Yarrowia lipolytica: one gene and its partners. The protein of the gene in region 3 binds, or shares a complex with, the protein of the main gene of each other region. Links are inferred from orthologs where the notes say so. Each region holds a gene or a part of one and is shown on either strand. Other genes may lie near its edges.

What was found.
Region 1: YALI1_F32546g (region 3) and YALI1_D30224g share a complex: the UniProt entries of both Schizosaccharomyces pombe proteins name them as parts of the SNARE complex. The link is inferred for Yarrowia lipolytica from reciprocal best matches to the Schizosaccharomyces pombe genes bet1 and gos1.
Region 2: YALI1_F32546g (region 3) and YALI1_E06119g share a complex: the UniProt entries of both Schizosaccharomyces pombe proteins name them as parts of the SNARE complex. The link is inferred for Yarrowia lipolytica from reciprocal best matches to the Schizosaccharomyces pombe genes bet1 and sft1.

Annotation. Positions count from the first base shown.
Region 1 is NC_090773.1:3,021,223-3,031,707, forward strand, and holds YALI1_D30224g (uncharacterized protein), read right to left. Parts: upstream 1,166-10,485; coding exon 506-1,165; downstream 1-505. Other genes in the region: YALI1_D30230g (uncharacterized protein), read left to right, coding at 1,722-2,162; YALI1_D30241g (uncharacterized protein), read left to right, coding at 2,851-2,973, 3,026-3,211; YALI1_D30249g (uncharacterized protein), read right to left, coding at 3,255-3,617, 3,772-3,837; YALI1_D30256g (uncharacterized protein), read left to right, coding at 4,315-5,121; YALI1_D30285g (uncharacterized protein), read left to right, coding at 7,208-9,481; YALI1_D30319g (uncharacterized protein), read right to left, coding at 10,177-10,485. UniProt on the Schizosaccharomyces pombe protein: Nonessential SNARE involved in retrograde transport within the Golgi complex.
Region 2 is NC_090774.1:605,347-615,904, reverse strand, and holds YALI1_E06119g (uncharacterized protein), read right to left. Parts: upstream 3,928-10,558; coding exon 3,796-3,927; intron 3,201-3,795; coding exon 3,051-3,200; downstream 1-3,050. Other genes in the region: YALI1_E06158g (uncharacterized protein), read left to right, coding at 51-1,352; YALI1_E06137g (uncharacterized protein), read left to right, coding at 1,890-1,949, 2,165-2,893; YALI1_E06109g (uncharacterized protein), read left to right, coding at 4,918-7,389; YALI1_E06068g (uncharacterized protein), read right to left, coding at 7,831-9,063; YALI1_E06065g (uncharacterized protein), read left to right, coding at 9,367-9,876; YALI1_E06056g (uncharacterized protein), read left to right, coding at 10,250-10,558. UniProt on the Schizosaccharomyces pombe protein: Vesicle SNARE required for retrograde transport within the Golgi complex.
Region 3 is NC_090775.1:3,248,735-3,258,912, forward strand, and holds YALI1_F32546g (uncharacterized protein), read right to left. Parts: upstream 5,953-10,178; coding exon 5,942-5,952; intron 5,890-5,941; coding exon 5,421-5,889; downstream 1-5,420. Other genes in the region: YALI1_F32476g (uncharacterized protein), read left to right, coding at 1-712; YALI1_F32498g (uncharacterized protein), read left to right, coding at 1,117-2,253; YALI1_F32512g (uncharacterized protein), read left to right, coding at 2,478-4,043; YALI1_F32534g (uncharacterized protein), read left to right, coding at 4,761-5,285; YALI1_F32554g (uncharacterized protein), read left to right, coding at 6,730-7,128; YALI1_F32565g (uncharacterized protein), read left to right, coding at 7,848-8,582; YALI1_F32597g (uncharacterized protein), read right to left, coding at 9,024-10,178. UniProt on the Schizosaccharomyces pombe protein: SNARE required for targeting and fusion of ER-derived transport vesicles with the Golgi complex.

The DNA of each region.
Region 1 (10,485 bases), on a different chromosome or scaffold from region 3:
GCACGATATGAATCATCAATGAACATCACACACATCACATGCAAACCACACGACATATATACCAAAAAAAAAAAAAAAACAACAAAAAAAAAACAACCTGTAAAATGAATCCATATATAAATAATGTACATAGGGGTCAGTGTAGCCCCCTTCTTAGACTGTTCCCCCATTGTACACACTAGGGTAATACAATGACCGCAACAGGCACAAGCCTTACTGCGACGCTTAGTCTACTGTTAAATACATTCATCTATTTCACCTCACTCTAGCAGCAGAGAGCATACCTAATGAATCTAGCAGCTACTGTTACTGTTTGCGCCACCCTTAGCGAGCGCCAATTTGTTGTGTTGCGCTCACTTCTTGGTCCATAGGCAACTTCCATCAGGGCCAATTCCGTGGGCTTCTTCTGTAACATATCCTGTGAGACCTCGCTCTGAACGTTGTGTCCCAAGATGCTCCCAGAAAAAAACAACAAAATAACCCGTTTGTTCGAAGTTTACTGTTGCTATCTCAGGAAGAGAATGAACAAAATACCCAGGGTGATAATAACCGCCAGAATCAAACTGTCTCGCTTCTTCCGGGTGTTAATCTTGGAAATGACCGTGTTAATGCCTGGAATGCTGCTAGCCGTGTTAAACAGCCGACGCTGGATGTTGGCCAAACTCGCCCGCTGGGTCAGCAGCTCCTCTCGAGTCGCATACGCTTGAGCAAGCAGAGTATCGGTCATGTTATTTGAGTTGTCCACCCGGCCTCGCTCGTGTAACATGTACTCCTCCTCGGCCTGGGGAGTAGCACTTCGGTTTCTGTGTCCCTCGATATCCGACCGCACCGACGACAGCAAGTTGGCCCGGTCTCGTTCCTGCTTGATTCCAGCGTTGATCTTCTTGTATTGCGATCTGTGCTCTGCGAGAGTCTCTCTGTGGCGTTGCAACTGGCCTGTTTGTGTTGCTGTGGCGTTAGGGGTGGAATCCAGCAGACGTTCGAACGACTCCAGGGAGTCGGCGGTCTTCTCAATTACCTGCTCGATATCCCGTCCAATCCGTACCTCGTCTTCGGAGGCTGCTATGGCGTGAGAGGTGGCAAAAGAGGAGTACTCCGAGAGCAGCTCTGCAAGCTGAGACTCTAGCCGTCGCACTTGTGTTCGCGAGCTCGATATGGTCGCCATAATTGGGGGGCTTTGTGGTGTTTTTGGTGGTGCTGGAACTTAGGTACACGTAGCGACAGGTATCGTACCGTGACGCACATGCAGGTGGGAGTTGACTGCATGCACGATACAGTATGAAATTAGCGAGATGATGCTTGTGAAGCAAATAATAGAACAGACAATACCGGGACGGCGACTTAGGCTGAGGGAAGGGGGTTGAGAATACAAGGGACCAACATAGGACACTTATACAACATACACACACATATATATATATAATATATATATATAGAGGAATCCCTAATAACCCCTCATTTGATTACATAAGGTGAGTGATCACTTGTAGAAGGGGGAGATGGTGTAAATATAAGGCGGATAAATACAAGTATTGGTTCTTGCAGTCAGGTAGAATAAAGCTCGCAAAAAATGACTTACAGCTCTCGACTAATACCGAATAGGTCGTATGGTGGACCACAAGCCTCCTCACCATTTCCCTTGAAGCGACTTGTATCATGTCGACCCTAACCCATTACTCTGATATCATGCACGATTTTTTAACCACCATCAACATATCAGCATGGGCAAGACCAAACGAGAATCGGCTCTTGTGGAGAGCAAGCGGCCTGCGAAAAAGTCCAAGACCGATGGCGACGAACCCACCCCATCGCCAACGCTCTACGTGAAAAACCTCACCGACAAATGCACTAAATCGGACCTCAAACGGTACCTGTACATGCGATTCAGCTCGTACGGACACATTCTCGACATTGTGGCGATGAAAAACGAGCGGATGCGGGGCCAGGCACATGTGGTATTTAACGATATCGATGCGTCGATCTCGGCGCTCAACGGGCTGCAGAAGAGCGAGTTCATGGGCAAAGAGATGGTAATTGAGTATGCTCGATCCAAGTCCCATGCCATTGCCAAGTTGGACGGCTCGTTTACCATTCCCGAACCTCCCGCATTCGAAGAGAGTGTTCTTCCGTTGGCACCTTTTGAGGATGTCACGGCAGAGTAGCGGCAAATCGAACGCAGTGAGCATTGGACTCCTCGGGGGCCAGTGACTCGTGGACGACTTGTGAAACATCGCAAGTCACAAGCCGCGAACCTGCTCTATACAAGCTTCTTGCGACAGTCGAAACGGCAGAAGCATCTGCATCTTTCAGATCATGGGAGATGAAGCGGTTGGCAGGCATACTATGAGCTTGTCATGATTTCAAACCAGGGAGGATTATTTATTGTATAATAGAAAAGGTGCATGGCACCGGATGACGTCATGAACAAATACGGATGAGATGCTGGATCGAAAGAGTAGTTGATCGGTTATGTTCTCCAAAGCACTATCCACTACAACCTCAGTTCAGTGGCCCACCAGTAGTCGGTATCGCAGAGGCACAGAATGGCGAGAGCTGATTCCTACAATGACAGAATGCTGTAATAGAAGCAATCAATCAATTAATAACATAAGAGACTCTTGGTCGGAGCTATCAAGGTGTTCTTGACGACGAGAATGAAATGTCTCTAGAAAGCAGACCGGCAACTCTTCTAACAGCTAGTTCCTGTTGATGTAACAGACGATAAGTGTACTTGGTTTGGTAGGACAAATCACAGGAGAGCTAGAACTAGCCTGTCAATATCTAGCAGTACTCGACTGAACTACTCGTCTGCTGATTCACGTTCGAGACCATGATTGACGAACCTGAGCAATGCGTTTGTCCGTCAACCAACAGAAGAACAGAAGAACCAGTCTGTGCTGCAAGCAATCCTTTCGAAGAACCGCACGAGTAAAATACTTGGACTCTGAACACGTTTTGCATCAAGTATCATATGTCTAGAACATAGGTGTCAGGCGATTGGACATCAGATCTCTTGACATCAGAGCTTTCGACATCAGAGCTCTATCTTGATAGACCAAAGTCACTCTCAGAACCACCAGGGCCAGGTTCGAAGCCCTGGAAGACGTTCAAGACCAAATACACAGGAATGACCAAACAGAACAGACCCCTTGGACCCGGCCTGGGTGAATCCCTGACTCACAGTTCCATCACCCCCGATATTCAACTGTAGCGTAGCTCCTTGATCAGTCATCTCAAACCGCTGGTGAATCTCATCATCGCGCTCGTCGATGAAGACCAACGATTCGGCCATAACTCTCCAACCACACCTCCGCCTCACTCCTCTTGTGCATCTCCTCATCCTGCATCACCAGATCTACCGTCTCCCTCGTTTTACAAGGATGCAGAAAAAACACGGGCAAACCGGTGTGAGGATGCTCACCTTGAGTGATTGCAATGTCAGGAGTAATTACCACCCCAAACTCCGCCATAAACGCCACAAAATCGGCCAGTAACGTCACGGGCTCGCTGTCTCTATAACAGCTCATATATACCACCGGACACACGTATATGTGCGACCACAAAATGTCATATTTGGCCGTTTGGTGTGAAGGCCCTATTCTCGTGATCTGGAGGTTCTGAGTTAGCCTTGGGTACGAGCGAGTACGACAGGTTGGTCATGACGGACGTACACCTGAGGTGCGTGGCAAACGTTGCGGCTTTTGGCCGACGAGGCTGAACTTGTAGAAAAAACGACTTGTGGAGCACAAAGCTCATAACCTGTTAACTCACCTGGTCTCTCCATCTCACGTGACAGTCCTCGGGCCACCCGTCTTGCAGCTCCTTGAATCCTTCCATATTCTCTACTCGTATTCCTGGGTAACGTGTTTGTTCCGGGTTATTGGGAGTCGGGACCGAACAACCACTTAGAGTGCGCCAAATGTGTGCTTGTGCGTGGAGGTAAAATAACGTCTGGAGGACAATGGGGACAACAGAGCGCGTTCAAAGCGGTCTAAAAGCGGTCGAATTTGCGCCGGAAAAGAAATATAAGGAAAACGAAGCATGTTTAGAAGTATGGCGTGCTCGTATTGCACATTCGTCCACTCAATCGCCCAGCACAAAGAACCCTTCTCCTCCCCATTTCACTTCCCCAGACAGCCCGATTTCTCCCGAACCTTAACCTAAACACCGCTCAGCCAATCACAACTCTGCTGATTCAAGCGCTCCCAAATGGACGGCCGTGTGTGCATTCAGCAGTACATAGTTTAGCCTTGGTCCCCTTCTCTTCCCCAGTTTGTTTTTTCTCTTCCACACAACTAACCCACCCATCACACAATGTTCGCGCTCCGAGCCTCAAGAAACGTTCTGAAGAGCCGACCCGTGTTCGCTCGAGGCCTGGCCTCCACCGCCGAGGCCCCTAAGGTGCCTGCCCCCCGAATCAAGAAGTTTGGCATCTACCGATGGAACCCAGACACCCCCGAAAAGAAGCCCGAGCTCAAGGAGTACGAGGTCGACCTGTCACAGTGTGGCCCCATGGTGCTGGACGCGCTCATCAAGATCAAGAACGAGCAGGACCCCACCCTGACGTTCCGACGGTCGTGCCGAGAGGGCATCTGTGGCTCCTGTGCCATGAACATTGAGGGCCGAAACACCCTCGCATGCTTGTGCCGAATCAATCCCGACATCGCCAAGGAGGAGAAGATCTACCCTCTGCCTCACATGTTTGTCGTCCGAGACCTTGTCCCTGACCTGACCCAGTTCTACAAGCAATACAAGTCCATCGAGCCCTACCTGCAGCGAGACGAGGTCCCTGCCGACGGTAAGGAGAACCTGCAGTCCATTGCTGACCGACGAAAGCTCGACGGTCTCTACGAGTGCATTCTGTGCGCCTGCTGCTCCACCTCGTGCCCTTCGTACTGGTGGAACCAGCAGGAGTACCTGGGCCCCGCTGTCCTCATGCAGGCCTACCGATGGATGATTGACTCTCGAGACGAGGCCACCGCCAAGCGACAGCAGATGCTCGAGAACTCCATGTCTCTGTACCGATGCCACACCATTATGAACTGCGCCCGAACCTGCCCCAAGGGTCTCAACCCCGGTCTGGCCATCGCCAAGATCAAGCGATCCATGGCTTTCGTTTAAGCTGAGTGGCTAGAAGGACATGATTATTAACACAAGGAGGTGAAAATATAATACACGCGTCGTCATGCAGACGCGTGGCTTAGATAGCATGAATGGCATTCTGAAAGTGAGGAGGAACCCGAACGGTTCCGACAGTACAGTACCAGTAGTAGGGCGTGCATGTGCCAACTTGTATGACTATATGAATTGTACTCATACTAACACGTATGAGCAAATTGATTTGCGTGATTGGTACTAGTAACTGAGCAAGTACCGGTGGAATTCGTAAAGAATTCGTAGGGTGGCAAATTACATCAATTGGGCCGCTGGTTGCTGTGTATGGTGGCCATTTTCATATTTGAAGATCACATCAGTGAGGTGCGAAATAAAGTTTCATGTACCGAGGTTCATGTGGAGGATATTGCGTTGGCTCTGGCGGCTGATATAGGCGTGCTAGAAGACTTGTGAATTTTCACAGGCCCTATGGACGATATTTTAGAGCTCCACATCAAGACACCAAGGATTTTGGTGCATTTTTGAGCTAGTTGGTGAGGCGGGTATGATTATGTCATATGCTTATGTACACTCTTGTACATACAGTGAGAGCAAAGCTTCTGTATGTAAGGAGATATGGAGCAATTAGGAGGGGTTGAGACGGGTGGAAATTCGGGTGTTGGATTGCTTTCTATTTGTACTGCACTGTAGTACAGTAATATGTCTTTCTTTCACAGGTTACTCCTTGTACGTGTCTTGGAGTTGCCGTGAGTAAGTGGTCCTAAGAACCACGGCGGAATTTCGAACTTTTGTATCGAGATTGTGTAAGAAGAATGGGAAGGGAATTTTGATTCGAATGGTATATTTTTATTGGTACTTTTCATAGAAGTATTGCTAGTTGTGAGTGTTGTTGATGGTGCTGTTGTGCAGTGCCTCCAAGTCCAGTCCAAAGGCATATCTTATTACGCCGCCGTGTAGATACTATAGTTGTAATACATACAGTAGCTCCGTAGCATGTACAAACGGTACAAGTACAAGCACCGGAACTCGTGTGTAGGACGCCGAATTATTGTTTCATGGCGATAACATCTTATGCCTGGTTATAATACATTTGTATCGGTGCGTGTTATGAGATCAATTCATCAAATATGTCTTGTTTTATTTTGTGGATGTTTTATTTTCTGGATGTGTTATCTTCTGGATGTTGTGTCTAATTTTTACAATTTAATCTCAAAATTTCAAAATCCAAAATCCAAAATACTGCTTGTTACCTTTCGTATATATTTGCACCGCAAAAAATCACCCAGATATCTCATATCCGGTTGCATAAAATCACCCCATATATCCCAGCGACTAATCAGATAAATCACCTTCCCCTCCCCTGGACATAACGTTCCACCACCCTCGCTATTACGCTCCGCATTAGGGGGCCATAGAACCCTTCGTATGGCTTTGACAAGCTGCGTTGATAACGCATGTGAGAGACAGGAGGTTTGGGTGATACGGGAAGGCCAGGAGACTCTACTCTACACGCGTTCGATTGATCAGAAAGTCAGGCGGCAAACTCAGCAGCAACGAGAGAGCACGTGACCGAAAAAAATAATCGACAATACAATACTACTATGTCAGACATGTCTAAAGAACCAATCTTGTCTGTTGGCAGGATTACGGTTACCAGGAGAGCTTCAACTCTGATCCGGTATGTGGGGAACATGATGCACTATGGCCATGTGGAGGACTAGTGGTAGGTGGGCGTAGTTTGATACAGTAGTGGCTGTGACATGAGAGTGATAGGTGATAGAATGGTAGTTATAGGAGGAAAGAAAAAGTAGATGAGTGAGGGAGAGAGATCACCCACCGGTTGTACAGGAGGACCACACAGGCTGAAATTGGTGTCTCGTCTCATTATATCCTATGTAGGGTAGCGCAGTCAGGGTCACATCAAAGGGTCAGACTGTACTTATATACGTGCCATTTGCCTTACTGCAAGCGCTTTGTGCTGTATGTAGTGTAGTGTAGCTCAAGGGTCACCTCAAAGCATATAAAGAGACACAAACACGACACGACCTTAACTGGAAGGGCCACACCCGTCGTTACTCCATCTACTTTGGACATGGCTCTCGTCATTTCTTATCTCATCAACGGCCACAAAGCCCGCAAAAAAAGAGCCACAGAAACGCCAGCGATGCACAGCCGCCGCTCGAAAGATATGTATGCCCATCCGGGCATTCTTCACGCCAAGTCGCTGCTTCCTCGAGCAGCAGCCTCTTGTGTTTCAGCAGCAGCAGGGTTCGCCAACATTTGCATCCGGCTCGCCACATATGCGGCAGAGACCACAGTAGAGTCTGCGCGGGTCTCGACCGTGACGTCATTGGCTCTGTCTGTCAAGGCGATCGAAGGACTCATTTCCAAGGCCAACCAAGATACCCCCAAGGCCGAGGGCTGGGCGGAGCTAGGAATAAACACAGCCCAGCAGACAGTCACGCTAGTGCAACTGTTCACATCCATCTCGTTCCACTTCACGTCAACGTCGATTCACACGGTCTCGTCGTCCACCCAGGACGTGATCCACGTGATAGACTCTGTGTTTGGGGACTCAGAGTCCTCCAGAGCAATCAGATACATTCTAGGCTTGGTGCGGCGCGAACTGGGCCAGCAGGTGGGCATCTGGGAAATGTTGTCAGCCATGGTATGCTACTCCGTCGCCCATCCACGAACCTGGAACAACATTGAAGATGCGGAGACCCAGCTGCTTTGGGACGTGGTTGTCCTCGAGACTGGAGTCACCATCTCCCAGCAGCTTCCCGACTCCGACCCTACAGATAGCTTCAACGAAGAGCAGGCCGTGGCACTGCTTCCCCCTGACGCCAGATACTCTCTCACAATCACTGAGGAGAGTATCCGGTCGGTGGCCATCGAAGTAGTGGCCAAACGCCTGCCTCCACACATGGACGTGCCCCGAGATGCCCGCATCGTCTACGAAAAGTGGCAGCGACTGGATGATAACAACATCAGGTATGAGCTCAAGTTTGAGAAGAGCGAAAAGACCTTCCGGGAGAGAAAAGGTATTGCTCGACTAGAGCCCCACGAATGCGACCACGTGACTGACGCTGTCATCAAGACGCCTGATGAAACGTTTAGAGAAGATGACAATATCAAAGAGTCGATCCAGACCCAACGGATCTCGTCCCGGTCTGTTTCCGAAATGGGAATCGAGAATCTGGTCCCTCGAACAGGCGAATACGAAGTGTACCCTCCAGGACACCTCACCAAGAACCTGGCTCGGTACGTGCGGTTCTCCAGTGCCTCTTATGGGCAGTCATTCATGAGACTTTTGGGTATTGGACGGTTCGATGTGCCTTTCAGCACCACTGGAGCCCATCATTCCGAGCATTATGCGTTTGCTCATCATGCTGGGGTCAGTCTCGATCAGATTTTGTTATCCAGCTATAGCGACAAGGTGGTGGATACTTCCAGTGGCATTCTGTTGGATCATTTCATTGTTGTGGACCACGATCCCAAAGCGGTCGTTCTGACAATCAGAGGAACCTGGGGTCTAGATGACGTGCTCACCGATCTGGCGTGCGAGTATGAGAACTTTGAGATCCACGGTTCGTCATACAAGGCCCACCACGGCATTTTGAGATGTGCCCGTAGCATGATTCGCAAGAACAGCCGTGTTCTGAAAACCATCAAAACCGCCATGGACGGAATGGGCCCCGAGTATGGTCTCATAATCTGTGGCCATTCTCTTGGTGGAGGCGTTGGAGCACTACTAAGCATTCTTCTAACAGTATACGACACCGAGATAGATGATTTTGTCACCTCCGAGCAGTCCATGCTGCCCCCTGGTAGACGGGTTCATTGTTTCACATACGGCTGTCCCCCTACCATTTCAGAGCAGCTGCGAATCATGACCGAGCGACTCATCACCTCGGTGGTGTACGGCTGCGACATTGTGCCCAGCTTGTCTCTTGGCATGCTCCAGGACTTCCAAGCCATAGCTCTTGCATTTCGCGATGAGAAGCGCGGGGTTGTGGGCGAGACCAAGAAGCGGCTGTTTGCCCAGCTGGCCACCAGCAGAGTGCCGTACATGTATCGGCAGGATGACTATCTGTTGACCTTGGCCAAGACACTGCGGGGCCTGATGCAGAATGAGAAGCTTGTTCCTCCTGGACGAGTGATCCATATTTCTACCAATGTGTTGCTAGAAGTTCACCAGGGCCGAACCAAGAAGGCCAATCGCGTGGTTGGCAAGGTTGTGTTGGATGTGGAGCGGCGGTTTGGGGAGCTTGTTCTTGGGAAAGGTGTATTTGATCACTCCCCGATTTACTATGAGCAGGCCTTGAATACGTTGGAGCAGGGTGTCAACTCAGCCCCCAGGTAGCACTAACGACCAATTGCCAACTGAGAATAGCCCCATAAACCAACGAGATAGACTCGTGCCACCGCTGCATCCAACACCCAGATCATGATCCCCATAGATTCATGCATATAGCTACTCAAGATTATATTAGATGATTAATTAGCCGTGTATGGCAAGTAATTGATACTGTAAAGTAGTATATTACGGCGATACTCTAACCCAACTGAGACAGATCTTGCAACAATGTTACTATGGTTGTGCGGATGTGGCTTCATCGAATGAAGTCGACTTGGAGGACTCTTAGATATATCTGCTCCGTAAAAGCGTTGGTTGATGACAGTAGTGACATATTCATGGCAAGTGTAGTTCGGAAATAACCAAAAATGTTGCGGGGAGGTTATACGAAGCGATGTGTACCATTAGTGATGGTAATGACACGGGAGAATGCGATTGAGCGATGGATAACACTTCGGTTTACGATACAGTACATAGATACGTGTAAGCAGATATCGTGAGAAGAGTATGTTACTGTACAACGTACGGTTAGGAACCACAACCTTTACTGTGCCCAGACAGTGGTTGTGCTCAACAAATATAATACATTGGCTAGCATTTTGAAACCCGGCAATGTACAACGTGTACGGTAAATGCCTCAGGTTGGAATTAGTGTGGTAGTAGCGAGATGAGAGCAGAGAGAGGTGGGGCAATCGAATCGATTACGACCGGTAAGTGACCTTCTGGCCGCCTCGTCGCTCCATCTTCTCTTGTCGCTTGGACTTGGGGATCAAGCCTTCGTTGGCTGTGGAGCCTGAGGAACCGGAATGTTTGGGTCTGTTCTCGGAGTAAAGAGTGTAGGCCTTGACGACGGCGTACAGGGGGATCATGATGTACAGAGCAAAGCCCCAGTTGGAGGCGAGCACGGCGGACACAAACTTGCAGATCCAGGTGACGTAGACAATGTCCTTGAGGTACTCCATTACTCCTCGCTGGGACAGGTCTTCTCCGGGCCTGATCAGACCTCCTCG
Region 2 (10,558 bases), on a different chromosome or scaffold from region 3:
TAGATTCGGTATTATAACATACACTGAAATATACTGCCACGAACACCGACATGTCCTGCAAATCAGTGGAAAGCCAGTTGGTTGTGGCCAGCGGTTCAATCTCTGAGAAGGAAGAGCCCCTTGTGCAGAAGCTCCCTGAGCCCGATAGGGGCCGGGCTTGGATCGCCATGGTTGGAGGAGCTCTGGGTCTCTACTCATCATTTGGATACATCAACGTTGTGGGTCTTTTCGAGGCCTACTATCTGCATCATCAACTAGACGGCTACTCGGCATCGACCGTCTCGTGGATCACGTCTCTACAGTTCTTCATTCTGCTGGTTGGAGGAGTTTTCTTCGGAAGACTAGCTGAGATGTACGGGCCTCGGCCGGTGGCTATCGTCGGTATGCTCTTCACAGTGGGAGGAATCATGGCAACCTCTGAGTGCAAAACATACTACCAGTTCCTGCTGGCTCAGGGAATCTGCACGTCTATCGGAAACTCCTGTGTCTACTACGCATCAATGGTCGCGTGTAACACGTGGTTTGTCAAACGACGAGCTACCGCCCTGGGTGTGGTAGTTGGAGGTTCGTCGATTGGAGGTGTGACCCTGCCATTCGTCTTCTCTCAACTACAGCCTAAAATCGGATTTAATGACACTGTGAGAGTCATTGGATACATCATGCTTGGAGTGGGAGTCATCTGCTGTGTTTGCATCTCTTCTCGACTGCCTCCTAACAAGAAGTTACGAAAGAACTTCTTCAATTTCCGACAAGAGGTTATTGAACCCTACAAGAACAAGTCGTTCGCTATGATGACCGCGGCGCTGTTTGTTTCGTATTGGGGACTTGTCACAACCATGGGATACATGTCCACCCACGCTATTTCCCACGGCATGTCTGAAACAGTCTCCTTCTACCTCGTGGCAATCTACAACGGAGCCTCCTTTCTGGGTAGAATCTTGCCGGGTATAATGGCTGACAAGGTGGGTACTTACAACATGCATTCCGTATGCTGTGTTCTTTGTGGTATCATTCTTCTGGCTTTCTGGATCCCCTCCAACAGCAACGCGGCCTTCTTCACTTTCTCTGGAGTCTTCGGATTCATCTCTGGACCCTATATTGGTCTGTTTGCAGCTCTTGTGGCGGAAGTGTCCGAGCCACATGAAATTGGGAGGCGATTGGGTGTAGTCACCTTCTTCTGCTCCTGGGCAGCTCTTACTGCCATGCCTATTGCAGGAGCCACCCTGGACGAAGGACATACCAGCTTTGTCGGACTTCAGGTGTTTGCAGGAGTTACCATGATGGTAGGAGGATTCATGGTATTCGCAGCCAAGATGCTGGTCCCTGGACAGACATGGCTCTCCAAGTTCTAGCGTGGATGAAGGGCGAAGAAAACATGAATGAAGAGAAACGACAACTGGAAACTATAGAATCGCATTTAATATATGGAGTTTAGGGAATGATTGAGGCACAATTCCATCGTATACATTCACAACTATGGGAGATAGTTGAAATGGATAAAAAGGATAACAGAAGCTCAATACTGTAGTTGGTAGTGAAGTGACTTCGTCATTTTCACTTCTGCACGACTGTACTATTCTTGTTTTTTTTTCAGCATACTGTAATACCAACTTTCACTGTAAGTATTCGGTAAGTAAAGTGGTCAACTAATAAGGTTTGTCAAGTAACCGCTGTTCCTAGACTGCGAAGTCCGAGAACGGAGTCTGGACGAATACAACCGCACCGGTTATATTATCGACTCTTCTAAATTATTCTATTTGTTCCCTCCTACTCCAATTCCTTCACTCATCACCGCCAATATCAGTCCAAAAATAGCTCACTTATCACACGTATGCTAACTCTGTTGGTGGTGTGCATATACATCACCATCTCCTCAACACACCACACAAATGTCTCGATCGAACCAAGAAGCCCTGGCCGATTTCGTGGCCGACGCCCCTCCCGGAGAGGTGAGTATCAATTGTTGGCGGACGGATGTTGAGGATTCGTGCGCTGTCAGCACGGGCCTGATACGGAGTCTCCCCTGTATCAAGATGTACGGGTTATGTTGTCACGTCATTTACTTCGGTTGCTTGAACTTGAACTTGAAACGCGTGCCTTGATATCTTGCAGGCCGCTAATTAGATCCAATTGAACGTCTTTCTGTACCCCCATACTAACGCAGCTCAACCAGGTCGTTGAGGCCATCAGCACCGTCGTTGATGGAAACAGCTCGATTCTGTCCAAACTGGAAACCGACGTTCACAACAAGATTCTCGACCAATGCATGGTTGTGTCTCTCGGCAAGTCCAAGTCCCTGGTCTCTAAATATAACCAGCTTTCCAAGGACACCTTCTATGACAGCCAGAGTGGCCAGAAGTTCGAGTTCGATTTTGATACAAAGAAGGCCACCCCCTCGGGCTCCCATGGCTCTGACTCGCCCATCCAAGGGGCTCTCGATAAGTACTTTTCTGCCCACTTCCCCTCCGAGGGGGCTGCTGGGGTTTTTCCTCAGGATGACGGATCTATCGCCCTTGTGCTTGTGGATGGCAAGTATAACCCTGCCAACTACTGGAACGGAAAGTGGCGGTCTGTGTACATCTTCGAGAGTGGCTCTCTGAGCGGAACAATCGACGTGGATGTGCATTACTACGAGGACGGAAATGTCCGTCTCAAGTCCAGCGAGAAGGTGGACCTTGGTTCTGTGTCCGAATCTGACATTGTGGACGCCATCTCCAAAGCCGAGCAGCAGTTCCAGGAGAAGCTCAACAAGTCATTTAACGGTCTAAACGAGGATTCGTTTAAGGCCCTGCGACGACAGCTGCCCGTGACTCGATCTAAGATCAACTGGGGCAAATCCATCTCCAACTACCGGCTGGGTAAGGATATTAACGTTGGTGGAGGACGAGAGTAAGTAAACAGCGCTCTCTGTTTATATAGGATAAGGCTTTGCGTATTATGAGATCAGTACGTGGGTATCGGTACTGTGGTGTTACGATCAATCTTCTTAGTTATAAACACAGCGCCGAACGCGCTCATGGTACTACCAGTACTTCTACTCTCCTCATGCATTAAAAAAACTTGAACAGAAACCACAGCAGGAGAATGATGGCCAGAGCAATGCCAACAGTTCGCCAGATGGGGTGTCCGGCCTTGAGCGACCGTCCAAGCTTGGAAGCAGACCCTCGGACCGAGGTCATCATGTTTCCAACAGTGTCCGTCTGGGTTAGTAGGGTAAAAGAAGTGAGGTTTTGGACTGGGTGAAATGTCTAGGAAGGGTACAATCGCCCCGGTACTGCATTCCTTTGAGGTTCCCCTGCTCCACGATACAGGAAAAAGGAGTTGAAGCCAGCTGAGGACGTCCTAGACACATAATAATACCATAGATGAAACCAGCAGATCGAGAGAATGCCAGTATCCAAGTTCGTACTCTTAGATCACCCCTAAGTCAGAGGTGTTCGTAAAACAAGCCAATAGAACAAAGATAGTGAGACCAGACCCGCCAGATGAAGGCAGAGCTTCATTCAGATCAAGTATTCAAGCCGTTCGGATCATGAAATGTCGTGCTCGGTCTTCTTCAGCCTGCTGAGAAAACATACTTTATAATCTCGCGTGCCCGTGAGCATGTGATCCCTCCAGTTCAACAAGATAATCAACTACCATGGCACGTCGTGAATATGATCAGAATCAAGGAATCATCGCCACATCTTTTGGGTACTTCCTCGACTTCTAGCACCATTCTCCTCTCTCTATCACTCTCTCTGTGTGCGTCTCCGCATGACAACCTCATGGACCACCACTCTCCGTCATACTCACCGTGGAATCAATAAGCGAATAATCGCTAGCCTGAGCGTGGATGTCATTGGTGACAGACCGCAAAGACGAGATTTTCGACGCCAGCTCCTCGAGCCGAGTGTTGTTTTGCTCTTCTCGCTGGTATGCTGACATTGTGTGTGTGTTGTGTGTTAGGTTTCGGCATATACAGTTCGGGCGCTGCCAAAAGGAGCAGGCGATCGCAACAAGGTTAGTGCGGAATAAGCGGGGGGAGGCCAAATACGAACATGATAGTGTGAGACTTGTCTCGGTGATTACTCATCCGAGTGCAACTACTTTAGTCATCAATAATAGGGACGAATCCGAGGTTTTCGATTTAGGAAAGAAGCCTTAGTTTCGGAGGTCGCCAGTGCCACCTGTAGTACATTGTTAGCGCTGCAGAACATGCGCTTGGCGGAATTCTAAAGAGACATTTATCTGATGAGTGTGCATAATTGCCACCACACCATTAGATGGGAGGAGCCTGGGGTGGCAAAAACGGCGGTTTCGGATAGCGATCGAGGTTGGGATGGGAGTTTTGAGACCACCAAAGACGAATCCGCACCTGAATACGTTACATTTTCATCCACTAGCACCTGCTAAACGTCCCTCTATATGGCCCATGAGAGACGCATGCGCATCTGATAAAAAGCCAAGACTTTGCTATCCAATCACAGGGCGTGTCTACCCCCGTCCGTGGCTAGCCACCCCAATTCCAAACACAAAAAGAGTGTAAATTTTTCACCGGTCCGAGCCCTTGAAAACGTTTTTTTTCACTTTTTTGGAAATCATTTATAGGCGGCTGTCCCCAGTGATCTACAATTCTACCGTTTTGGCACACACTGAACACGACATTAGCAAGACGATACACCTTAGCGAGCGCCACGCGAAGCGACAGTGAATTTAAAACGTTTGAGCTGGATTTTGACGACAGCTCCATCTCACATCAGCTCATTTTCTTTGCTTTGATTACACACTATCATCACATTCTGTTGCTCACACCCGCTTAATTTCAGTTGGTCACGTGAACACAGCCACTTATCGAACCCTTTTAGCTATCTCCAGTAGACGCACAGGGACAACGCATAATACATCCACACTCACCACACTCACCACACCCACACAATGAGATTATTGACACGGCTACTGGTGCTCGTGGCGTCGCTGGCGTTATTTGCGCAGGCTGACGATGACCTCAGCACAAAAATCAGCTCCACCATCAACGAGTTTTCGGGACTCATTGTTGAGCACTACTATCTCACCAACGATATGACCAATGCGTCTCCCGACGACGCCGAGGTGGTGCTGTTGCGAACCTCCAAAAACGATCTCTATGTCACTTACAACCAGGGCAAGACCTTCAAGCAGGTGCTCAAGGGCGAGGACATCATTGCCATCTACCCCAACCCCCACTTCAAGAACCGAGTTTACTTTTTGACCCCCGACGAGAAGGTCTTTTTCACCATTGATAAGGGCGAGTCATTCAAGTCGTTCCGAACACCTGCTCCCCCGAACCAGCGAGGCCTGCAATTGATGACTTTTGACCGAAACAACAAGGACGCTTTCATCTGGACCGGATCCGAAGGCTGTGAAGACGAGCTGTCCCCTCGATGTAAGGTGGTCACTCACTACACCAACAACAACGGAGGCCGATGGACCGAGGTCGGCAACGGAGCCATCATGTGCCAGTACGTTAACGGACTCAAGGATCAGAAGCGAAACAACCTCATGTACTGTCTGTTTGAGTACAACGAGGGTGGCGTCAAGAAGTCCCGACTGGCTTATTCTACTGACAACTTCCGAAACCAAAGAGTGACCCACGAGAACGTGCTTGATTTCGCTCTTGCTGAGGAGTTCCTCGTTGTTGCCGTCATCAATGACGAGGACGAGACTCTCGAGTGCCAGACATCCGTGGACGGTGAGTCCTTTTCCGTGGCTCGATTCCCTCCGGACTTTAAGGTCCCCAAACAGCTGGCCTACACCGTTCTGCAATCTACCACCCACGCCATTTTCCTGCATGTTACCGTCAACGGAAAGGCCAACTCCGAGTACGGCGCCATTCTCAAGTCGAACTCCTACGGTACTTCGTTTATGCTTTCTCTCAATGAGGTTAACCGAAACCGAGTCGGCTTTGTCGACTTTGAGAAGATGGCTAACCTCGAGGGTGTGGCTGTCTCCAACATTGTCATCAATGCCCGACAGGCCTCCAGGGGTTCGCGAAAGCAGCTCAAGTCCATGATCACCCACAACGATGGTGGACAATGGGCATACCTGAACCCTCCCCCCGCTGACACTGAAGGCAAGGCTTACTCGTGTTCTGGACAGTCTCTGGAGAAGTGCTCTCTTAACTTGCACGGCTTCACCGAGCGAAAGGATTACCGAGATACTTACACGTCTGCCTCTGCTGTTGGTATGATGATCGGTGTCGGTAACGTCGGAGAGTACCTCGAGGGATACCTCGACGGAAACACTTACCTTACTGTCGATGGTGGTATCACTTGGAGGGAAATTAAAAAGGGAGCGTACATGTGGGAGTACGGAGACCAGGGTTCTATTCTGGTTATTGTTGACGGAGAGGAGCCCACCAACGAGGTATTCTTCTCTCTCGATGAGGGTGTCACCTGGAACCCCTACAGATTCTCTGAGGATCTTGTCAAGGTTGATGATATTTCCACCGTGCCCAACGATAACTCTCGACGATTCCTGCTTACTGGTAAGTCTCCCCGGTCTAAGGGAGAGCAGTCTACCACCGTTCACATTGACTTCTCTGGCCTCTCTGACCGACAGTGCAAGCTGGACGAGTCCAATCCTGACCGAGATGACTACGAGCTGTGGTCTCCCAGAAACCCCACTCAGCAGAGCAACTGTCTGTTTGGCCACGAGACTCAGTACTACCGAAAGCTGGTCGACTCCAAGTGCTACATTGGCAGACAGCTCATCCAACCACACAAGGTTGTCCAGGACTGTGAGTGCACTCGAGAGGACTTTGAGTGTGATTTCAACTACGTCCGAGACCGAGACGGAACTTGTAAGCTTGTCAAGGGTGCCAGTCCCCCTGATCACGCCCTCCAATGCAAGGAGAACCCCAACCTCGTTGAGTACTACGAGTCTACCGGCTACCGACGAATCCCCCTGTCCACTTGTAAGGGTGGCCAGGAGCTCGACAAGGCTGATGCAATTCCTTGCCCTGGTAAGAAGGGCGAGTTCAGCAAGAAGCATGGTGGTGGACTTGGTGTCATCGGCACATTCTTCGTCATTATTGTTCCTATTGCCATGGCTTGTGTCATTGGATTCATGATCTTCCAGCACTACCAGTCCAAGTTTGGTGTCATTCGACTGGGCGATGAGGACTCGTTTTCCTCCAGCTCCAGCAACCCTGTCGTCCAGCAGGCTCTTAAGGGCCTGGCTTACGTTGTTGCAGGTATCACCATGATCCCCGAGGCTCTCAAGGGCGTCGGCGAGTTCGCTCGAGGCATTTTCGGCCACTCTGGAAGTAGCAACCGACCGTGGTCAAGAGACTACGCACCTGTTGATATCAACGAGGACGACGAGCTGCTTGGAGATGACATTGAGAGCGATGCCGAAGAGGTTATCTAAGCTCCACATATGTATAAGATTAATGATTAATGAGGTGAGTATGTATTGTGTCGTGTAGCTCTAGAAGCAATCTACTACTCTTATGTGCGTGTACTTTCACCAGGATCGTTGAGACATCGCACAGTACAAGTAATTGTTACTTGTGTGTTTGTTTACATGTGCCGTGGTGATTGTGGTACATCTCAAAACTTTCGGAAATACCGAGTATATTCAACTTTTTTCGTCAGTAACTGTTGGTCAGTAGCAGACTTGTCGACATCGCTGTGTCGAGTCGCTGGAGGGGTCCGCTGTGATTTTCACTGGATCAAAGCGAGCCATTGCCTAATGGCCAACCAGAGTGAGAATTTGAGCAATGTTGATGCAGTGCTCTCTACTTCGCTGTAAGAATATTTCATCTCGGATTCATCCAAATCTCCACCCATTATCAATCTATGCATTAGTCTATTTCTTGGCTCTTCGTCGTCGCTGGGCAAGCTCTGGTAGCTTAAGCGGAGCCTTGAGCGAGGCAATCTTCCAGTGGCTAGCCTCGGTTCGAGGTCGTCCGATATCATCCATGTGAGTCAGAGAGGCGTTCTTAATGGCGCATCCCACCTGTCTGCAAACGTCAGCAAGCTTGGAAGGCTTGATTCCAACCTCCTGCGACAGAATGGGAATGTCTACAACGTTGTTGTTGAGTCTCAGCACAAGAATAATGATAGTACACAGCAACATTGCCTCATTTCTGGAGTTGACCATGTAAGTGTGGTACCGTTGTGATTTGTGACCACCAGAAAGGGGAGTGGTGTACCGGTAGAGCATCTGGTCGATGAGGTACTCTGGGGGGTTGTTGAGTCTGGTTTTGATATCCTCCCGCTTCTTGACGTGACGATCTCGGTAGAATCCAATCAGCAGAGACAGATAATAGAGAAGAGAGGTCTTGTACATGGTCTCGTCGGTCTTGTCGGTGATCTTGTAGAGACTGTCTCGCACCATTTGTGAGGTTCGGTAAGGAAGCATGTCCACTCGCTTGCCGATATCCTGCTCGTCCAGAATGGCCTCGCTTCGAATGTACCCAGCCTCCTCGTCGGTGAGGTATCCCTCAACAGGATAGATCTCGTTGACATCCAGAGTCTCGAGGTTATGCTTAGGGATGGGTCGGGCATCATCCATTGCCATGGACACCTGCTCTTGAGTGGGTAGGTTGGCAGTGGCAGTAGCGACAGCCTCCACGACATCGTCCTCAAAGTCAACAAGCTCGTTGGAATCAATGTTGTTTCGGGCCAAACTGGCAAGGGTCTTCTTTGCCTTGAGAGTTCCAAACTCGTTACCCAGGTTGACTCGCTGTTCTCTGTAGGACTTCTGCTCGGTGTTCTCAGCGACTCTCTTGGCTAGTTGCTTGGACATGGCCTTCAGCTCAATGCTTTCGGCGGGGACCAGATCAGCCAAGCCCTTAGAGGAAATTACGGCAACGCAGTACTTCTCGTGGTCCACAGGCACACTGGTGTATCGCATTCGGGAGCTTTTTCCCTTGATGGAGGTCTCTCCATTGTCAGACACGGACGAGAACTTGGCGTCCTTAGGGATGGACAAATGACCGCAGTCAGAAAGAAACACCTTTCCATCGTCCTGAACCTTAGCGACCTTGATTTTCGTCAGCCGCTTGCTCGAAGCCTTTCTCTTTTTGTCGCTGGCCATGCTGGTGTGTATGTATCGTGGGTTTGAATAAAGATATTTTCGAGCACCAGATTTTTTCAGGCTTTGCAGATGAGCTGCAGGGTTAGGTTATTGTGCTGATAGAGGAATCGCGAAGACTGCGGATGTAGGACTTATTCAAGGAAAGCAGATTGTAAATGGTAACTATTTGACAATAGCATTGGACAACTGTATCATTTTCAATTCCTCTGATATTGTGATGATCTGGCTACACTATCTATAAATTTTGCCTCACAAAATTAGAGTTCACTATTAAGAAATTTATGTGGACCTCGACATCCCACTATGAACAATTACTGTGTATACAAGTTTTCAAGTCGTTCGACTTCAGTACATGTACGGGTCTTGACTGATTCCCGCCGTTCCAGTATTCTACCTCGAATTCGTCTTTGTCGTATAAAATATCTCTCGTGGCTCGTCCAAATGATGAAGTACGTGCTTAATAATCTCGCTACCTTCATGAATTACTGCAACAGTACAGTACAAGTACAAGTACTGTACTGTACTTGTATTGTATTATGTAATCCCGATTTTTCTGAATGGTCCTGCTCATTGTTTCCAGCCCCACTTTCATTGCCACTATTCTCAGCCCCTTATAGTACACTCTCACATTCGTACAAACCGGTACATACTCTACCAGACTTTGTATGTACGAATACAGTAGTACCTTGCACTTGTATGTATGTGTTCTCGTACTCGTATCGTAGGTCATGTGACATTCTCTGTGTGTGTGTCTTACTACATGCTATTACCCCCTCTCTACCGTACATGGCCCACCCACATATCTCCGTATAACAGGACAACGGACCGTGAAGCACCTGACACAGCTCATATGACACAGCTCATATCCCAGAAGAGGACTCCGTCCACAGGGTCATCGTGGGCATCGGCCCCCTTGTGGTTTCTTTGTCCTTCTTACAGTAGTGCCAATAATATCCCTACACATGTAACCTTGGTCTTCACGTTAGTGGTATGAAAGAATGAAAGCAAAAGCTGGGGAAATGTGGTAAAAAAATACTAGAACGAGTGACCTGTTTTTGGTGCTTGTAGAGTCGAAAATATTATACTTATCTTAATAGTCACGTTACGCGCGGCCGGCACACGTATCATATCTCCGTACATCTTTGTACATCTCTCAAGCGGGTACACTTTATCACGTACCAAGGTCATGCGGAAGGATGGTCACACAGCAAGAGGTAAATCTCAATGCAGAACCGTGAGTGCTAAAAAATACTACCACAACAAAACAAGAGCGCGAACGCATGGTGCAGAAGTGACAGTTTTGCTTTTCTCCGACAAGCACGATTTTCTTCTTGTGCAGGTACCTACACCTTCTCTCTTTTGCTATAAATGGCTTGATTGCGCTATTCTCATCCTTACACACACACACACACACACACACACACACACACATACACACATACCGACGATGTTGCTACAAGCGTTTGTTTCTGTTTTAGCACTTCCAGGGTCTCTA
Region 3 (10,178 bases):
CTCCATTCTGACCAAGACCATGGTTAAGTCTGTTGACGAGAATGTGATCCGAGCCGAGCAGACCAAGGGTGACGGTACTAAGGAGACCCTTGAGATGCCTTACGGAACTCTTGTGTGGGCCACCGGTAACACTGTGCGACCTGTTGTTCGAGAGCTCATGTCCAAGATCCCTGCTCAGAAGGGCTCCCGACGAGGTCTTCTTGTCAACGAGTACCTTGTTGTTGAGGGTACCGAGGGCATCTGGGCTCTTGGTGACTGTTCTGCCACCAAGTACGCACCCACTGCCCAGGTTGCCTCCCAGGAGGGATCCTACCTTGCTAACCTGCTCAACGGCATTGCTAAGACCGAGGACCTCAACAACGAGATCACCAACCTCGAGAAGCAGTCGGAGCACACCTTTGACGAGCAGGAGCGAAAGAACATCTTTGCTCAACTCGAGTCCAAGTCCCGAAAGCTGCGACGATCCAGAGCCATGCTGCCCTTCGAGTACTCTCACCAGGGTTCTCTGGCCTACATTGGTTCCGACCGAGCCGTTGCCGACCTGTCCTTCAACTTCTGGGGTATCATGAACTGGTCTTCCGGAGGAACCATGACCTACTACTTCTGGCGATCCGCCTACGTGTCCATGTGCTTCTCCATGCGAAACAAGATTCTTGTTTGCATTGATTGGATGAAGGTCCGAGTCTTCGGCCGTGATATCTCTCGAGAATAAGCGCATAAACCTATACAATAAATTTTAGATTGACAGTACAACTGAGGGCTGTAATGAGTAAGAGTGGTATCACTTGGTTGTATTTGACGGAACAGTTGTATACAATTATAAAGAGTTGCAGCTTCTCCATCTGCAGTATTGCTGTAAGCATGTTTGTGGAAGGTTTCATACTGAACAGAATCCCTCGTATAAGTGAACCCCAAAGCCAATGTTTTAGAGGCATTGAGACATAAGACTGCATGTTTCTTTTTGCTCATTTCACTTCTATATTTCTTTTTTGTGTCTGCCACTTCTGTATAATTCATTTCAATCAACACAATAGAGTTCCATAAGGCGTGTGGTGCATATTGTCAACTGTGGATACCTGTTCGTACAATACGTGAACATACTAACACACACCACAAATGATCACGAAAAGGCTACTGCGGTTCCTGCTGGGGCCTAGTTTTGCCACCAATGAGAATACAGAAACAGAATCTCTTGCTCTCAACCACGAATTGCTCAACGCCAAACACAAGATTCTCAACAGCTATGGACGGTCTTCCCTGGAGGCCGAGAAGATTGTACCTCCTCCTACTTCAGCCGCTGATCTGGACGCTCTGCTTGATCCTGCCGAATCAAACGACTATGTCGACAAGTGGATGCGAGCCTGGGAACTCGGTATTATCCCTGAGGGGATTGTTAGAGGTATAGAGATGATGGGCATGTGGCCCCTGGAGGTATCTTGGGCTAGATACCACACAATTGGCAGATCCGGAGGACAAACATACTGGCAACTACTGAAGGGAACTATCCACAGCGGCAATCCGTTCCCCGGATTCATGGCTTCCCTGGCGCAGAGTATGGTGGAGGAAGCTATCTCAGACCAACCGGACGCAGGCTCGTATACGTGGGAGAACGGGACCATGGTCAAAAGCGAACACAAAATCAACATCATAAGCGTGCTCAAGGGCAACCACACAATGGCTGAAATCATCCCCTTTGCCCTGAAACACTTCACGGCCTGCATCATGTCATTCCCCTTCTTCTACTACTCCTCCATGCAGATTTTGGGGGTGTACAACAACGTCGACACCCCCAACAACTCGCCCTGGGGCCCGTCTATTGCCTGGCTGCAGAATTTCTACAACCCCTGGACTCCAGCTCTACCCAATGTCGGAGTCATGGCCGTCTGGCATGTATCCAACTACTTTCTTGGTCTGGTGGGTCGAACGCATCTGGCTGAAATCAACAAGTCTCACGGACAAATGGGACCCGAAGTGGCCCATCATATGCCTCCATTTGCGGTTTTATATGAGAACTTCCTTCGATCATCCTTCATCATGAGATGCATGACTTCCAATCTGTTTGGTTTCTTCTTTTTCCGGTTTGCTGTCGGCAAATCTTTTGGGGATGACCTGCAGATTGATTTCCCAGATCTCTGCGGCGCTATTGCTGTTGATACCGTGGTTAGATGTGGTATCAACCACTTGTACATTCTGTCCACCTGGATTATTGAGAGATCTGTTTACGGGGCTGACACAGAGGAGGAGGAGACGTAAATGTACATAGGTCTACATCGCTACATAGTTGCATTATTTATTTGGTATTCAAGAAAGAGAGACATTTTTTTCCCCTTTGAACTGGTGTGCTCGTTTGTTGCATTTGTACATCAGGAAACGCGTTTCCCTTCGTCATTCCACATTTTAAAACATCACACTCTTATCCTTAATGACCATCCTAAACGGTACATGTTGCTTAATAATCAAACCCTAATAACAAGAATATGCATGGCTGGACTCCCCGGCCAAATTCGTCCAGTACACATCTTTTACACCAGCAACAACCAAACACAATGTCCGCTCGACGCTCGAGACGCAATTTTGATGACGACACGGTGGAAGCGTCCAGTGACAGCGAAGGCAAAAAGCGCAAGTCACGGGCCGCCGACAAAGCAGCAGCCGTACCTGAAGAGGATGAGGAGGTCGAGGACTCGGATGGACTGGTGGAGTCCGAGGAGGTTACACGGTGCATTTGTGGCCACGAAGAGTTGCATCTGGACCGGGCTGCCAAGGCTCTGGAAATTGATCAGGGTCTGTTTATCCAGTGTGATTCTTGCTCTGTGTGGCAGCATGGCTACTGTGTGGGCATGTACCAGGAGTCTGAAGTTCCCGATGTCTATTACTGTGAGAAATGCCGACCCGACCTCCATCAGATTTTCCTACGGCCAAGCGGCCAGACGTCCATCTACAACAAGTCTGCCGACGACGATGAAGACGAAGAAAACGAGGATGGCAACGATGAAGGCAATGGTAGCCGGGCTTCGGTCAAAGAAGAAGAGCTCCTCCCGCCAAAGCGTCAGCGCAGCAGCCGAGCGTCTTCTTCGACAGCCTCAGACAGCGGCACTGGTGCAACACGCGAGTCTGCCCGCGACCCTCCCCGAAGCAATGGAGAGGAGCCTGCAGCTGCTAGTGGCCCCAGACAACAGTCCGGGTCCACCCCCGAGCAGGGAGGAAAGCGAGGTACGGGTAGAAGTCGACGTCCCGATTCTGCTGCTTCTGCCGCTGGCTCTGCTGATGATGGCTCTGAAGACATCTCTGACGCAACTGGCGAGGCAGGCCGTGACTCAACTCGCAGCAGACGCAATTCGAGCTCTCGTCGTGAGATAACCACCTCGTCGCGACGTCGCAACAGAGACACATATGAGGAGACTCTCAAGCGGGTGCTTCAGGAGAGCGCCCGCGAAGCAGGCAAGGACAAGGAGGTCAAAGAGGAAACCACAACGAGCAAGAACTCTACGACCAACAACAATAACGCCACAGCCAACAACAGCAGCAGTAGCAAAAAGTCATCGCCTGAGACTACTGGCACTGCTTCTGGAGCAGCAGCTGCAACAAATGGAACAACCAACGGGTCAGCAGCAGCCTCGGGAACGTCGGAAACGCCGAAGCGGAAACGCGAACAGGAACTCCAGGCAAAGTCGGATATGGACGGCAGCGACTCGATGGACTCGCCTGTGGCCAAGGCCCGGAAAAAGCGCAAGACAAAGACGTCGGTGGGTGCTGGAGGAGCAGCCAACTCGCCGAAGCCGAAGGAGACACCCGAATACAATGACGAGCGGCCATCCAAGCCACGGGTACCTCATTCACGAACTACAATGAGCGAGATGCGACGACGGGTAGCTGCGATACTGGAATTTATTGGCCGCACACAGATGGACATGGCCAGTGACCAGAACAAGATTGGAGATCAGGTGGTGCTTAGCTCCACCTCTGCAGATATGATGGATGGACTAACTCGCAAGCTGCTTCTGTGGGAACAGGAGTACGGTAGATATGGCGAGCGAAGGTGATTAACAGAATATACTTAATTTATTGTATCATTATTATTTAAAGGTATTTTGCCGTCGGAATAGCCGCTCCGCAAAAACCGTTGCACGTTGTGTGAGAGGAAACCTATTACAGGTAACAATTGGGGATGTGTCTCAATTTTGGGTATTGCGATAAGCTAATTGTAGCGGTTACTACCTGATCTACAATGTAGCTTAGTGTCGGTTATCGATCTCTATATTCGTATATTAGATGCCAAGAACAAGAAGAATAATGTATGAAGTAGACATGTCATTTCGCTTAGGTGGTGCTGTGAGCCTTTGCGGGGGCCACTACAAATAATAGGGAAGTTTTGTATGCGTCTGCCATGTGCATTGCTCCGCTACTATTCACTTCAACATTCGACGCGTTTCTACAGTCATGGATGTGAGAGTGGCTGGGTTTATATTACGAAAAGGCTCCAATATGTTGAAACATTTAGTACAAGTACCTGTAGCTTGTTTTCTACTTCTCCCCATTTCTCCATCCCTCCAAGAACACTCCACATCAAGCAATTAGCCGTTGGGAAAGCCGAAAGTACAAGTAAGGTAAGTTGACTTGAACTACAGGTACAGTATTAGCTGCCTCTAGGCTCTCTTATTTCTCCACCCAAACGCGCACACCATCGTTCATACCGACTTTGACAAACGTCATTGTTCTTACACATACACATACAACATTCACCTTCTGAATTACACACAATGGTCCATGCCGATTACTCTCGATTCTCGTCGGAATCAAAGTCCGAATTGTACGACACCATGGCCTCCAATGTGGAAGCTCTAGTTGATGGTCAGACCAATTGGGTGGCTAATCTTTCCAATGCCTCGTCGATCATCTGGCACGGTCTCAAATCGCTCCCCGAGCCATCCAGCGACATCAACTGGGCCGGCTTCTACGTGATTGATCCTAAGAAGTCTGAACAGCTGATTTTGGGACCTTTCCATGGTCAGGTTGCATGTCAGGAGATCCCTCTGGGCAAGGGAGTGTGTGGAGTTGCTGCCAAGGAGCAGAAGACCCAACTGGTCAAGAATGTGGAGGAGTTTCCCGGGCACATTGCATGCGACGGAGTCACCAAGAGCGAGATTGTAGTTCCCATTGTGTTGAACGGTAAGCTCTTCGGTGTCATTGATATTGACTGTGCCAGTCTAGAGGGATTCGACGAGGTGGACCAGCAGGGACTGGAGAAGATTGCCTTGATTCTGGCGAAGTCTTGTGAGTGGTAGCGACCATTCAGATAAGTTATAATGTGTAGAAATCAATACGATACAGTGTCTCGTTGTATACATACAGTGCAGTCTATCAATACATAAATAAGTCCTAAATACTGGCTGGCCCAACCAGAAAGCAGTCCTCCACAATCATCTCACCCAAACAAAGAAGAAACACAGGAAAATGAAGGCGAAGAGACCGAGCCAGACTCTCCAGCCAATACCGCTGTTGTCGGCCATGATCATCATTCGCTTGAAGGTGCCCTTGAGTTTCGTGGATGCATTTTCAAAAGTGTCCTCCAGGTTGTTGAGCAGGTGGCTGGAGTCCCGGATCTCCACTCCGATCTTGCTGGTCACGTCCTTCAGCAGCTGCACCTTAGCAGACAGACCCTCCATTTGCTCGTCGTTCTGGGACTCCAACTGCGACAGCATCGACGTCGAGTACTGCTTGTGGCTTTTAGGATCGTACTCCTCCTGCTCGGGAACGTAGGGCTTGGCCTCTCCAAAGGACGAAGACGACCCGGCGTACGGCTGTGGAGGTTGAGGGGTGTTGATTCGAGAAGAAGCCTGGCTGGAGGCTGGTGATCCGTATTGTGCCGAGGAGGCAAAGAGTTGATGTCTGAGTTAGTTGCTGTGCACGGAAGAGAGCCTTCATCGCAATAGGTACTCACCTTGAGGTCATTGCTGTTTGTTGGTGCTGAGGTTCTTAGACTTTCACAAACCTCATGCACATGAACACGCAAAATAAAGACACGATTTGGTTCCCATGTTAGCCAAATAAGGTTTCGTTGAGCCCACCTCGTGGTCATTATTTCGGTGGCGATAAGAGTCGTTGAAAAAAATGAGACATTGTAGTTGTTTTGACACGTCAATATTTTTGAGTCATGTTTTTCAATTGTCAGAATATCATTTCTCCGGAGCTATTTAGTTTGTTTGCTGTGTCCACTGTAGAACACCTCATTCCTGCTTACTGCATGAAAAAAATGAGTGCGTTGTGTCGATAGTCGATATGAACTGAGGCCGACTCAGAGGCATAGAAGGAGTGGGTGATGGGTGGAGAGCAGGGTGACATGTCTATAGTGGTGTTTGTGGTATTGATTAAGCAGCACTTCAAGAGTGAGTATGCCGTATATTTTACTGTAGACTGACCGTGGCTATTTCGGCAGATTGGTTGATTATATTTCGAAATATTACATAGATCAGAGTTAGAAGAAGTTTCTCATTCGCACAATACTATGAATAGTCTGTTACTCCATAGTCTCTATTTTTTATTATTATAATAACATAACTGTAGGTCTTCGGTCCTTCAAAACTACTTCACAGTAGTACAGCAGGTAGATGCCTCGCGCCATTACTCGTAATTGTAGTTCGTGAATAGAGTTCTGGTCCATTATCAACGAACACATCTTGCTACAAGTAGGTAACATTCACAATCTGACAGAAAAGAAACATTCATACAATGATCCCTTCAAAACACACGACTATCAAAGATCTAGACATTGTCACCTATGCATTCAACGACAAGATCTTCGTCAATATCCACAGCAAAGGAGCATACACTAGATCATACTATGTTCCCCTAAGACTATCTCCAGGCAATCAGTTCTTTGCACATACCGAATATGACGACGAAGGCGAAGACATCAGCAATCTGCCACTCACTCATCTCACTCCCATGTCGCTAATTGGAGGCTCCAATGCTGACACATTGGGTCAGATCATAGCTGTCCAGGTGGCGTCCCAGGTAGTCAAGGACTCGCCCACAGAGGTGCGAACTGTGTTTGTGTCCATCGGCCGAGTCAGTCAGGACGACTACGACGACGTTCTTGAGGGAGTCAAGCTTTGCCGTGTTTGGTAATTGATTATGGGTGTTGGATTGTGTGGAGGTGTGGGAGTGGTTGAAAAAGAGCCTTGTGACACCCGTCGATTCGTGTGCCTGCAGTGGGACTATCACCAGACTCTTTACGACGAGTCTGAGCTGTTATTTCTGCGGTTGACTATGGTACAACTACAAGTACTGTCCTGTACTTGATAAAATGACAGTCGACCCGGTACACACAGTGTAAGCACGTTCATCAGTTGTGATCGACAGCACCTACTGCACCTACAGCACCCCCCTAGGAACACAGGTGCTACCGCGCCCATAGCCCACACTTGTGATCATTGCACCAGAGGACAACTGAACTAGAATAAAATTTAATATCATTGCATGACTCTCGATCGGTCAGTCGAAGCGTGTTCTCTGATAAAGGCAAGCTGGGACAGAAACAGTGTGCCAGTACTTGTGGAGTAGAACCGGCTAGTATGAGAAAGAACCTGAGCCAAAGAAATTGGTATGAAATCAATCTAAGAATATTGTATACATATATATCGACACAAGCACTGACACTCAATCTCTGACGCCCATTTGATTCATCTTTGCTCGATAGTCAATATTCTGGGTTTATGCAGCTTACATGCAGTCCTGTCGATTAACAATTAAATTCTGCTTCGATATATATAAGGTCGAACCGCCTGGAATTACCGACGAACACCAAGCTTTTACTAACACTTTTTCGTTAACACACACAATACACAATGGCCGGAATTCAGCAACCATCCGGACAGATCAAACTGACCAACGTGGCTCTTGTGCGACTCAAGAAGGGCCGAAAGCGATTCGAGATCGCTTGTTACCAAAACAAGGTCCAGGACTGGCGTAAGGGAGTGGAAACCGACCTTGATGAGGTTCTTCAGATCCCTCAAGTCTTTGTCAATGTCGGTAAGGGACAAACTGCGCCTCGAGACGACATGAAGGCCGCCTTTGGACATACTGACCAGGACAAGATCATTCTGGAGATTCTCAATACCGGAGAACTCCAGCTTGGAGAGAAGGAGCGACAGCAGCAGAGCAACCAGCTGCAAACGGAGATCATCCAGCTTGTGTCGCAAAAATGTGTCAACTCCAAGACCAAGCGACCTTATACTGCAACCATGATTGAGAAGGCTCTGATTGGAGAGCTCAAGTTCAACATTGTGCCCAAGAAATCCGCCAAGATCCAGGCCATGGATGCCATCAAGCTGCTGGTGGAGAAGCAGATCATTCCCATTGCTCGAGCTCGTATGCGAATTCGAGTGACTGGCGATGTCAAGAAGCTGGGGCTAGGAGAGAAGCTCAAGACCGATATGGGAGCCACAGTCGAGGAGGAGACCCACGACGAGCTGGTCTGCTCCATTGATCCTGGTCAGTTCCGACCCGTGAACGAGTTTGTTTTGGCTGAGGTCAAGGGCAAGTGCAAGGTCGAGGTCATGGAGGTTGCTGTTCAGAATTAGCCAGTGATCAGATGCCAAGCAACTGAAGCAACTACCCACAGTCTGACATGGTGCCCCAACAGCGAAGCGCAAGCTCTCTATGGGCCTCCACTTGGGCCTCCACTTGTCTCTTTAGGACATGGGACATGATATGCGTGTAGCCTATTCCTCGGGGCTCTCTGCATATGGGGAACATGCCACTGCTACTTGTAGTACACAGATAGTTACAGTACTGTCAAAACACCATATATTTAATGTATATTTACAGAGCAATTGTGAAGGAAGTGGAAGAAAAGGTGTTTTTTTTGCTGTATAAAGTTGGTGTTCCAAGTAATTGGGGTAAAAAAGGGGTTCCCTGGTCGTCTTGTCACCTGGTACTGAATGTTGTTACAACAAAGTGCACATACTGTTCAAATGTCTGTCTAATAATCAATTTTCTATAAATACAAGGTACTAAAATACTTAGTCGACCTCCTCGACAGTGGGGCCCTCGCCGCCAGCGCCGGGAGGAGGAGCACCTCCAGCACCAGCACCGGGGAAGCCACCGGGGCCACCGGCACCAGGCATTCCGCCGGGAGCACCACCCTCGGCTCCGTAGAACTTCATGAGGATAGGGTTGGCAACACCCTCAAGCTCCTTCTGCTTGTCGGAGTACTCCTCAGTAGCACCAGACTGGGTAGAGTCAAGGAACTCAATGGTCTCGTTGATGGCCTTCTCGAGCTTCTCTCGGTCAGCCTCGTCAACCTTCTCCTTGAACTTCTCTTCGGAGAGGGTGTTCTTGAGAGAGTAGGCGTAGGACTCGAGACCATTCTTGGCGGCGATTCGAGCAGCCTCGGCCTCATCTTGCTCCTTGTACTTCTCAGCATCGTTGACCATTCGCTCAATATCCTCCTTGGAAAGTCGGCCTTTATCGTTGGTGATAGTGATCTGCTGAGTCTTACCGGTACCCTTCTCAACAGCGGAAACGTTGAGGATACCGTTGGCGTCGACGTCGAAGGTGACCTCAATCTGGGGGACACCTCGGGGAGCAGGGGGAATGCCGGACAGCTCGAACTTACCAAGGATGTTGTTATCCTTGGTCTGGGCTCGCTCACCCTCGAAGACCTGAATCAGGACACCGGGCTGGTTGTCAGCGTAAGTGGAGAAGGTCTCGGACTTCTTGGTGGGGATGGTGGAGTTTCGGGGGATGAGCTTGGTCATAACACCACCGGCAGTCTCAATACCAAGAGAGAGAGGAGCAACATCGAGAAGGAGAAGATCCTGAGTGGAGGAAGAAGTATCTCCGGAGAGGATAGCGGCCTGGACGGCAGCACCGTAGGCAACAGCCTCATCGGGGTTGATGGATCGGTTGGGCTCCTTACCGTTGAAGAAGTCAGAGACAAGCTTCTGGACCTTGGGGATTCGAGTGGAACCACCGACAAGAACGATCTCGTTGACGGCGGACTTGTCGATCTTGGAGTCTCGGAGGACCTTCTCGACGGGCTCGAGAGTACCTCGGAAGAGATCCTGACAGAGCTCCTCGAATCGGGCTCGGGTGATGGAGGTGTAGAAGTCAATACCCTCGTAGAGAGAGTCGATCTCGATGGAGGTCTGGGCGGAAGAAGACAGGGTTCGCTT